2 linked regions of the Drosophila melanogaster genome follow. Changing the gene in region 2 together with the main gene of any one other region gives a genetic interaction. Each region holds a gene or a part of one and is shown on either strand. Other genes may lie near its edges. The genes, in order: GstE1 and Sms.

Evidence for each region.
Region 1: of Sms (region 2) and GstE1, changing one suppresses a phenotype caused by changing the other (phenotypic suppression), as found in Drosophila melanogaster (one study listed by BioGRID).

The regions. Positions count from the first base shown.
Region 1 is NT_033778.4:18,396,285-18,399,878, reverse strand, and holds GstE1 (glutathione S transferase E1), read right to left. Parts: upstream 1,487-3,594; 5' UTR 1,448-1,486; coding exon 773-1,447; 3' UTR 656-772; downstream 1-655. Other genes in the region: GstE2 (glutathione S transferase E2), read right to left, coding at 1-355; GstE10 (glutathione S transferase E10), read left to right, coding at 2,414-3,136.
Region 2 is NT_037436.4:12,271,081-12,278,934, forward strand, and holds Sms (spermine synthase), read right to left. Parts: upstream 6,172-7,854; 5' UTR 6,095-6,171; coding exon 5,810-6,094; intron 4,108-5,809; coding exon 3,996-4,107; intron 3,032-3,995; coding exon of another isoform or gene 2,923-3,031; intron 2,541-2,922; coding exon 2,418-2,540; intron 1,962-2,417; coding exon 1,378-1,961; coding exon of another isoform or gene 1,105-1,377; 3' UTR 576-1,104; downstream 1-575. Other genes in the region: Pbgs (porphobilinogen synthase), read right to left, coding at 1-195; INPP5E (inositol polyphosphate 5-phosphatase E), read left to right, coding at 7,580-7,854.

The sequences.
Region 1 (3,594 bases), on a different chromosome or scaffold from region 2:
AGGGTATACTGACATTTCGCAGCGACATAAACAGAATGCTGGCATCAAAGAACAAACGCTGATCCACCTGGGCGCGCAACACCAGATCCCTGGGATATAGCTCATCCGAATTGGCATACTTGTCCACCAGGTAGCAGACAATAGCATGTGAATCCCAGATAAGGGCACCATTATCTTCGAGGAGTGGTACGGTGTGCTGCGGGTTCTTTTTGAGGAACGCATCCTTAAAGTGATCTCCTGCCAGTAGATCCATTTCCTTGTATTCGTAGTCCAAGTTTAAGGCCCGCAAGGTCAGCTTGCAAGCGCGAACAGGAGGACTAATATCCATGCCATACAAAACCAATTTATCCGACATGATGCGATCACCAGAGAGACCCAAGTTCCACTAAATTTGCCACACACAGAAATCTAAACGAGCTTAACTAAACAACCCAATTGGGTGCGCTGAGCTTGCCCCATTTGTATCTTAAATAAACTTTTGTAATTGTACACTGACGATATCATAAATGAGCGATAAAAATATTACGGTCGGGTTCCCCAACTGTGAGATAATAATTACTGACTCAAGTCCCATATTAAAGTTTATAAATTTCAGTATTTATTATAAATTCAAATATTTAAATAAATATAAATTAAATAAAAAAATAAATTAAATATTTTATATATATGTTATATTTTATTGAAGAAGTTTACGTTTTAGAAATGGATGTGTATGTTGTTAATTGATGGAATTCAAACTTGTGAAATGTCATATTTAAATATAAGTTTAGTTTCACTTGTCGCCCAGCTTGGTCCACTTGCTGCGCAGGAAGGCGACGTAGCTCTGGGCCGGAGCTTCGTTGATCTCCTTGTAGTAGGGCAGCTTATTGAGGCGATCCAACCAGGCGGTGACCTTGGGATATGTAGCAGGATCTATGTCCACGGCAGCGGGCACGGCGCTTACAGTGGGTCCGGTGGACAGATCGGCTAGGGTTAGCGAATCGCCGGCCAGGTAGGGGCTGTTGCCCAGGAACGTCTCCAGCAGCTTCAGACCCTGGTGTACGGCGTCCAGTTTTTCCTGGGGCACTTCGGTAACACCGTTTATCCAAAACGGGCGGCTGACATTGGCTATACTGGCATAGATTACACTGGCATCGAAGAAGAGACGCTGATTGACGATCGCACGCTTGGCCAGATCCTTGGGATACAGCTCATCCGACTTGGCATACTTGTCCACCAAGTAGGCGGCAATGGCATGGGAGTCCCAGATGAAAGTGCCATTATCATCGAGCATCGGTACCGTGTGTTGGGGATTCTTCTTCACATATTCCTCGCTCAGGTGCTCGCCCGCCTGAAGATTCACCTCCTTGTACTCGTAGTCCAGATTCAGGACCTTTAGGGTAAGTTTGACGGTCCTCACACAGGGACTGAGATCTGTCCCATAGAGTACAATTCCAGAGCTCGACATGATACGTGTTGTTTACCCGTCAGTGTTTTTCTTTCGACTGATCTCTCTATTTACTGTACATATATACACACCTTATTGCCTCAAGCTTTTTGCTAAATGAGAGAGCATTTCGTAAATCTAAGATAAAAGCTCGAAACCATGTGTTAAACAGTTAAAAAAAAACCATATATATAATATGTATGCCTATTTCATCATAACAAACATTAATTACCCCCAACTGATAGTTCTGGAATCATCTATATGATACTAATTTTAAAACACCATATGCAGTGGTGAACTACAAAAAACATATACTCATCAAAAACAAAGTAGGTCTCTGTGAACTCAGGAACATTGGTTGTCAGAAGAAATTAATTTAATACAGTTACTTGTTTTATGATTTATTGTAATATACATCTATTTGAATCATGTAGAACCCATGTAAATTTACAATTCAAGTCTTCCTAACGAAGCTTGAAAGTTTCTAAAAGCTTAAAGCTTAAGTTAAGCTGGCATAAAGCTTATCGTTATTTTGGATAAAATTGTATGATCTGATACACAGAAGTAATAATATTAAACTCATAATTTTATAATTATATTTATATGAAAATGTTTGCATAGAAACACTGCTAATGAGTCTGGTTACTTTAGGTTTCGTTTGGACGTTTCTAGCAGTGTATATAAGTAGCCCCTTTGGTGCTCCAACTATGATCAAATAAATCACGGGGACATTGATCAAATATTGACACAGCTAATAGATAGCAGACCGACTTATCCCGGACATTAATAAACAATCAGGCAAACTTAAACTTGCAGCATTATGACGTCTTTGTGGTAATTATCAAGAAACTAAGTTTAATATCTAATCTTATCGCGTTTGAAAGAAATTTAAATTATTTAGACTGCCTTGAGTCAGTTGTGGATGGCACACTGTCTGCTACGAATCTCAATTCAACCAGCTAGAAGGCAATTAGTTAAGCAACCACAATGGCTAACCTGATTCTATATGGCACTGAGTCCAGTCCGCCGGTCCGTGCCGTTTTGTTGACCCTTCGTGCCCTCCAGCTGGACCATGAATTCCATACGCTGGACATGCAGGCCGGCGATCATCTGAAGCCGGATATGTTACGCAAGAATCCCCAGCACACGGTACCCATGCTGGAGGATGGTGAGTCATGCATTTGGGACTCACACGCCATCATCGGCTATCTGGTGAACAAGTACGCCCAGTCGGATGAGCTCTATCCAAAGGATCCGCTGAAGCGAGCTGTGGTGGATCAGCGGCTGCATTTCGAGACCGGTGTCCTTTTTCACGGCATCTTCAAGCAATTGCAGAGAGCTCTGTTCAAAGAGAATGCCACTGAGGTGCCCAAGGATCGTTTGGCTGAGTTGAAGGATGCCTACGCCTTGCTGGAGCAATTTCTGGCGGAGAATCCCTATGTGGCCGGTCCTCAGCTGACCATCGCCGATTTTAGCATTGTGGCCACCGTGAGCACTCTGCACCTGAGCTACTGTCCCGTGGATGCGACCAAATACCCCAAATTATCCGCCTGGTTGGCACGTATCTCCGCATTGCCCTTCTATGAGGAGGACAACTTGAGAGGAGCCCGCTTGTTGGCCGATAAGATTCGCTCCAAGCTGCCCAAGCAGTTTGACAAGCTGTGGCAAAAGGCCTTTGAGGACATCAAGAGCGGAGCTGGAAAACAGTGATGCGGAAGCCATTGTCGCATCGAAAAGAGAGCATTGCCCAAAGTAAAATTGTATGTTAAATGGTATTTAATATGATGTATTAAAACTTACGCTGCTGGCAAAATGATTTAAAATGTATATTATGTTTGAATAATCTTCTTTTTTTCCCAGTGTATAGGCTCACTATATACTGTTCTGAGTTAACTGAAGACTTTGTAGCCATCTAAGTGCTCTTGGCCGGTAAATGTCCTTGATGGCGAACATTTTTTTTATGTTGTATATAAATTACTATCTAGCGTGGAGTGCATTTCCAATGGCAACGCAGCCAAAAGTTTACAACTTTTTTGCGCTCATTAAAATTATAAAATTTTACCCTCCACAAAAGCGACACAAAATAGAAGAGGGCGGGGTAAATGAAAAGCGCAAAGTTTTCCTGCCGTGTCGTGCATGCTAAAGTTGTTAAATCATAATTAATTTAT
Region 2 (7,854 bases):
CGGTTCCAGGTGCTCCTTCAGGCGATTCAGTCCGAATCTCGAGATTCCTGGCATGCTGGCAATTGGCTGGACATCGTCGTCGTTGCTCACGATGAACACCGGATACATGAGATTGTGCGGCGCTATCTCGCAGCCCGACTCCTGCAGCTGCCGCAGCGTGGCATGGTGCATTCCACTGTGCAGTTTCCGCTCCATTTTGTTCGCTTAGCTCCCGGTGAAAATTAAAACCAACGTAACAACAAGTGAAATTAACGTTCAACTGCCCGCGGGCATATTTAGTGCGTGCTCTATTGCACGGTTGTCCAACACTGTCATGAAAAGATTAGGGTGGCTCACGATAAAATAAAATAATTAAATTTAAAAACTTATATAAATAATTAAGATAAAATTTTATTTATATTAAGAATTTCATAGCGATAAATCCCTTAATTAATTTTTTATCCATATTGATTAAGGATAGGTCAACACTGCGTATGCGTAGTATTACTTGAATATTGCTATTGAATTTGTAATTTATTGAATTCCAGGATTTATTATTAAAATACCCGGTAAAATAAAAGAAAACCACACTGTTTATTTCTGCGTACGACTATTTATTTAACTTTATTAGTTCTCCCGTTTAAAATGTTTGGTATTAATCGTTATTACAGCAATAAAAGTTGGTGTTCCTGCTACGCTTCCTCACACCCACATACACACATCCTCGATCCTTGGGCCTTCCCCGCTCCACTTTGCTTGTTAATGGATAACTAAACATATGGTCTACATTATATAGATGTACACGTTATACGAAATATTACAAATAGTTGGCCAACATGCTATGCTTAGGCGTAATTCAAATAAACACGAATACATAAGTTATTATTTTAGCCTGTCCTTGCTTAAAGGTTGTACTTTTGTCTTAGTTTTTAGCATTGAAATCAGTGAACGAGAAACGGAACTAAAGCCTAACTTAAGCGTAAACGAATTGGGTTCAGTATTTGGTTTGGTTTTCAATTGTAAGTAACAGCCATTGGAAGTGCGTGTTTTCCTCTGTCTTGGGTTTTGTTGCGATGGTTTCGATGATGGCGATTAGCTTGTGCATCGGATTCCGTGTTTCCTGGACTAAGAAACCAGCGTGTGATGGTAGTGTACACGCTTCTTCTTTCGACGCCTTGGTCGCGGTTTCAATTGACCCACGGCTCCATTATTCATATTTTCCTCCTCCTGAACTCCGACTGCTGCTCCATGGATAGTGACAGTGTAGGAGTGCAGCTGGAGCATCTCTCCGACGGTTCCCGGTTCCTGACTTATGCTGTGTGATGCTGGTGTGTGACTGGCGGTTGGTGGTGCGCTAGAAGTAGCTACTGCTGCTGCTGAGGAGTCCACCTGAGCTTGTCAGGCGAAAGTCACTTGGTAGAAGAGCCACTCTTCCATGAACGACGGCACAAACGCCTTGGTGGTGGTGAACTTCACCTTGGGACGCAGCAAATTCAACTGCTCCTCGAATAGACGCAGCTGCACCTTGCAGGTGGACCCATTGCCATGAGTCAAATACTTTCCGTCGGGTTTCAGCACCTTGAAGGAGTGCTCGAAGATGGTACGAATGAAATCCCAGGTCTCGCCCTCCGGGGCATCGGTTATGGGTATGTCCGTAAGATCCCCAAAAACGTAGTCGAACTTGCGGCCCTCGGCGATGAACTTCTTCAAGTACTCCACACAGTCGCCCACAATGATCTCGTACTGATCGCCCTTGCGTTTCTCCAGCACATCGCCGCAGATCACGTTGAGGTATTTGTTGCAGGTTTGCATCACAAGCTCATCGATCTCCAGCATCACCACATGCTTCGGATTCTCCTTGAGTAGCTCGTACAACAAGGCGCCATCACCGCCGCCCAGGATGCAGATCTCCTTGCCCTCGTAGTTCTCCACGCCGCGACACATCAGGGTCTCCGTGTAAATCAAATCGGATTCAGCAATGTCTGTACGTGGAAAATGGGAAATTAGACATCTATATTTAAAAAAGAATCAAAAGAAGTTGCTATTACCCTTTTCATAACCGACAGCTTAAAAAGTTTTTAATCTAGTCGAGAATTCATGTTTTCAAATTCAGCTTTCTTATTCTTCTTTTAAGCAATAAGAATATTTCATTATATTTAGTTAACAAGCAACTAGGTGTTCGTGATATGGAATAATTGTCAGGTAACATAGCATTAGCATCCAGAAAATGCCCGTGATATGGAATATTTACTTTTGTGCATTATGTTTATGTGCAGTTTATATTTATTTATGATGACCTTTTCTTAAAGGCAATTGCACGTGACCTTTACTGCGGCACTTCCACTAATCGATTGGTGACCCTGACACCGTTGGCGCATCAATGTGTGAATGTGCCACTTATTGCATTCAGATGCCTATACTAGGTATGGTTTACTTACTCTGCAGCTCGTCGAGGAGCAGCATGTTGCCCAGGGTCTTGGAGTGCATGATTTGAATCTTCTGGAAGGGCGAGCGCGCCTCGAAGACCACCTTGTCGATGTCGTACTCGATGATGCGCTCATCTGCGGAAGATGTGCCATGGATTAGTGATGCCTTATTAGTGACCGTATTAAGTGCGATATTGATTATTACTAGTACTGATTTCGGCTCAATTGTTAGGCGTCGCATGCAGAGAAACAAGTTTAAGACCAACGAAATGCACTCTTACGGAAAGTAAACGAGATATAGATAGAGAGAAAATCAGAAGTAAATGACTGAAATGATCTATCATGCTGGGTGCCACTAGAAGAACTCTGATACAATCAGCTCGATGGTGCTGCATACGCTCAATGGTCATACGGTCATACGATCACACACAATTCGGATGACATACAGTAGCGGTAGTACGAGTAGTATTTGCTCTATTTGCAATATGTTTAACCAAACGGATTGGGTTTGCCTTACCTGACGATGGGAAGTACCTGGAGACATCGCCGCGCTTCAGCGTCGGCAGCTTCTGGGCCTTGATGGCCTTCAGTTTGATTGCCAGGACATTCTCCAGGCTCTTACCGCTCTGCGGATGTCCGTTCGATTTTACATAGTAGTATATTGTTTTTTTTTTTTATAAACCGTGTTGTATTGATATTTTCGTGTTGTTGTAGTCGATTGTCAATTGTTGAGGAACCAATTTATGAGCGAGCGTACGACGTGGAGCGAATACGAGTACGAGATCGATTTCGAGGCGGGGCAGGTGACACATGTGCGTTGGGGCGTAAGTATAATTCAATAGTTTACACATTTATTCACAAGTTCGTGGCAATTTTGGTGTGTAATTTGGTCCAGGAGATGGTGGCAGCGGTTGTTCATGATGATCGATGGATCGGTTGAGTGTCGATGGAATAGATATGAAAATAAAACGTAATTTAAATTAAATAATAATCTTAGAACAGTGGGTATGCTAAATTGCAGTGATGCCAAGGAGCTGATATAAAATCAGCGTGGATACATAAAGGTATAAAGAGATTAAACCCACAGTACAATAATATGAGCAACTTGGCACCACTACTGCAAAGGTAGAAGGCTTCTTCCAAAGATTAGACAAACTAGCATGCAGGAGTGGCCTGGAAAAGTAATCCCCTAGAAGGTAACACGCTAGGCTAACATGATCGGTGGCTTTGGAGATGTGCAGAGCTTGGGAGGCGGTTCAAATTCTGGGCTGGAAATGACAACTCGGTGAATTTACATCAGCTGCGATACGGTGTCCAATTTATGTGATAGTCATGAGGGTTTTTTTTCTAATTTTATTTATTTTCTTTGCGGTGGCGGCAATCGGAAATACTAGTGGAAAAACTGCACAGGTGTTCTAGATTCTGCAGTGGAATTTTGAAAGAGAATTTCGGCATAAATTGTAGGTAATTGTATGTGAAGTGAGTTTGAGTAGATAAGTTATATATATTCATTGCAAATGAAACTAGCAGGAACTAAACTGGATTTTTTTTGATTGTACATATATGTAGGTTGCATTAAGTTCGACCAACCTGAGCTAGTCATATATATGTCGATATATCCGCCGCGTTTAATCGGCGGCAAGTACTTGGACCGATCGGAATCAAATTTCTGCCGCAAAATCAGTTCCATGGTGCGCATGGTCTGCAATGGTAATTCCATTATTGAGGTCCTTCTTGCAAGGGGGCGTCGGATGTACAAATGTGCATGTTGGCTCGATGGGGGCTGGGGTACTCAGTATGAATAAATTATATTAATGGAAGGTGACCTTCATCCGCCAGGCGCGGAAAACTCTTCGAACGACCCACCCCACTCACACCAAACGGCGACACACAGGCAGCCCGGCCCAAGAAAAATACTATTTTTAGTCCAAATACTTGATACTTATGAAAAAGGAAAGTGAACAGAACGAAACGAAAAAGGGAATATATACCTATATCTAGATATAGCTAGTAGCCATGCAAGTATGTGCATTCTGGCGACACATTTGTTTAGTTGCATGTGCAGCAGGCATATGTTATTGCAAAATCACAGAAATCACAATAGAAGGCTTAGCCACATGCGGCTTGCGAAATCCACAGGCCAACAGCAAACAGTCGTAAGCAGAAAAAATATTGACGGCTAGATAAGAAAAGTTCCGCACTCGCGAATAAAACAGCTGCGATCGGCAAGATATAGCATTTCAAATGATACGAGGAAATAATAATGGGTCTGATAATATTAGTTACTCCTATAGAAAAGTTGGTTTAGGTTGATTTCTTTGTTCGATTACTTGATTAAATTATTTATAAAGTACAAAGGTTTGTTGAGATTATATCCTAACTAACTCCATCATTGTATAAAAATATAATTTTATAAAAATTTTACTTGGGATTTTGTTAAAGCTATAGTTATAGAACAAAACAATTTTAGACTTTTTGACATAATTTAATTTTTTTGATGCTATTTAGCTTACCGTAGCTGTAGGCATATGTACATGGGACATTTTCTCTAGCATTTTAGATGTACTTAAACAAATGATGGAAGAAATTGAAATATTCTATCAAATTTTATATTCTTTGTTGTTTTACAAACAAATACTGGTTGTCATTTTGAAAACCCTCAGATTTGTGGTATCAACAGTCATTTTGTTGACTTAGGTTTGTTTATATGTGCATGCGTAAGTAGAGTAAACTGGTATAAGAAAGTTTAAGTATCAAATGAAATAATGCGTGCCTAAGGGTGTAACCTGAAATCTGGTTTCTGTAATAAGGGCCGCATATTCCGGGTGTTTTTCTTCTTATTAGTATGGGTACCATGCCCCAAAGGGGCGCCAATCAATAGATCGCGAGTCGAACCCAACCCACGTGCTCCGGCCAAATGTGAAAAGCATAGAAACGGGACCGGAACGACAAGTTAACCTAGCAAAGCCCAGCTGAAATCGCTATGTATGTGATGTGTGCTTCAGAGGTGTTAGATAATAGAAACTGGTGAAAGTGCTGGGATGGGGGCAGCCATCACTTGAGGCCAAGGACGGACGAACTGACCCTGACCAAGTGCCGGCCATTTGAGCTCGCCGAGTGGTCAGGAACACACTCACACACACAACCAATCAACCCACCCACATGGTTGCCCACTTGCCATGCACACACCCCCACATGTATGTATGATGAAGCAACAACACTCGGGTACAAGTGCGCGGAAAATCAATTTTACCCGGTGGGTGGAAAACCCTTTCCCCAACTAATCAGCCGAGACACGGAAACTGGGAGGGTAAGAAAGATGTGGGTGGTGGTGCTGCTGTCGGGTGTTTGCTTGCTTGTTTTTTGAGTTTTTTAAAGGAATCTAAATTGCACTGAATACGTACGTCGAAGGATATGCTCGGCTCCTTGCCATCGGGCAGGAAGTACTCCACGTTGAGCGTCAGCAGGCCGTGCTGGAAGATGCGGCAGGTAATCACCGTGTCCTTGTTCTCGTGCAGCACCGCAAAGTAGCCGTTTTCCGGCGACTCCATCGAGTAGGCCAGCTCCAGCTGGGGGAACAGCTGCTCCAGCTCGTTACGCAGGATTTTGGCCACCTGGAGGCGCGCCTCCTCATCCGCCGTCTTGTCCTTGTCCAGCGTGAAATCAAACAGTATCGTCTGGGCCGCCATCGTGCTTAACTTGCGCTAATCCGTTGAACAAAAACGCTGAACCGCGTACCGACCGAAACGAAATACTAGTGATGCGCCTTACGAGCACCGATAGCAAGTCGATTTCGATTGCACTTCTAGTGTGGCTGTATAATACAGTTAATTAAACCTTATTATTTTTTTTAATATAAGAAACGGTTTATTAAATAATTGTAAAAAATAATAAAGTACATTTAATAATAATGTTATAAATTCCTCTTAATAAATTTTTGAAGGGTACTTGGCCCACAATTTTGTATTGAATATATAGCGCTTTGTTATGTATGTTTACCTAATAAATATTACATTGGTACGTTTTGCTGGAAACACAATTAAATACAAATCTTAATTAATATTTAAGAAATATTTCTTTAAATCTATCGTGTCACAACCCAGCCACTGAAACACCCCCGCCCGCACCTATCGATACGTGCTCCCACTTATCGGCAGTTGGCTGCCCACTTTTGCCACCCCTAAATCGCAGTTCCCACGACAAGTTCCGCACTTGCTCGGAGTTTTTGGGTGTAAACAACATTGGAACGCGGTAAATCATACAAAAATTACATAAATCGCATAGGTGACAGCAGCGTGGAAGGGTAGTGCGTACCAGTGCGGAACATGAAAAGCACACCAAGAGCGAAATCAATGCGCACCTGAACCTGAACTTGAATATCGCATGTGTGCTATGTGCTATTGTTGCTGCTTTTATGCTAGACGTAGGCCAACAACACAAGAACAACAAGGCTGCGCTGACGGGAACAATGGTCTGCTAATTATAAATCTCTCGATCCCAGAGAATCGAATCAGCCAGCAGACGACGGATATTGTGCTTGTGTTCAGACGTTCAGATGCTGAGTGCTCAGTGCTTGGATGCGTGGGCGCCGCAGCATGCCAATGTTGTTACGTCGTCGCCAAAGACCACCCTTCCGCGACCAACCACCCCCCAAATCGCCCACAATCCTCCCCATTTTATATATCGCGACGGTGTCGCCACAGTTATTACCCAGCATATTGATTTTCTGAATCCTTTCAGCTCTCTCGCCCCAAAGGATCTGCCCACATATGTGTTTTTTTTATTTAGTTGCTTGCAGGTTAGTAAGTGTATTATACCCTTGGTATTACCAACCCGCCTAAATGTTTACCTTCATTAAAATCTTACAGAACAGCACACGCAATCGCCGCCAGTCAGCCCAATTAGCCTGATTTCGTGTACGTCATCGCCGAGCCCAAAATAATTTGCATTGCGACCAGCCAGAACGCCGGACCAAAGTCGCATTTGCATTGTGCTCGCTCGATGACGTCTGGCTTTACTATTTATATGGCCGGCAGCCAGAGGCCATCGCACAATGAGCTCGGTTCGAGAGATCCGGCAGATAGAGCGAATTAACTTGACAAAAGGGGGGCATGATAACCACTTAGCACCTTCACCTTAGATGATAGAATCATTTCGTTCGGACTAAAGCCAACATGCAGCACAGCAGCGCGGGAAGTGAGGAACGGATAACCAGTTCCACCAGCAGTCCCAGATCCGGTCACAAGACCGCGAGCTCCCTGTTCGGTTTGCTGAGCAAGCGACCTAGTAAGGTGGAGCCACATCCCGTGACACCCGAATCGCCAAGATTACAACAGAGACCCGTGTCCGCCTGTGGCCAATACGATGTCAGTTTCGCCAAGTGCAATGCAGATACGTCTGCAAACCATGTCAATAACAATGGGAGCACCCTCAAAAGCCAAACGCTGCC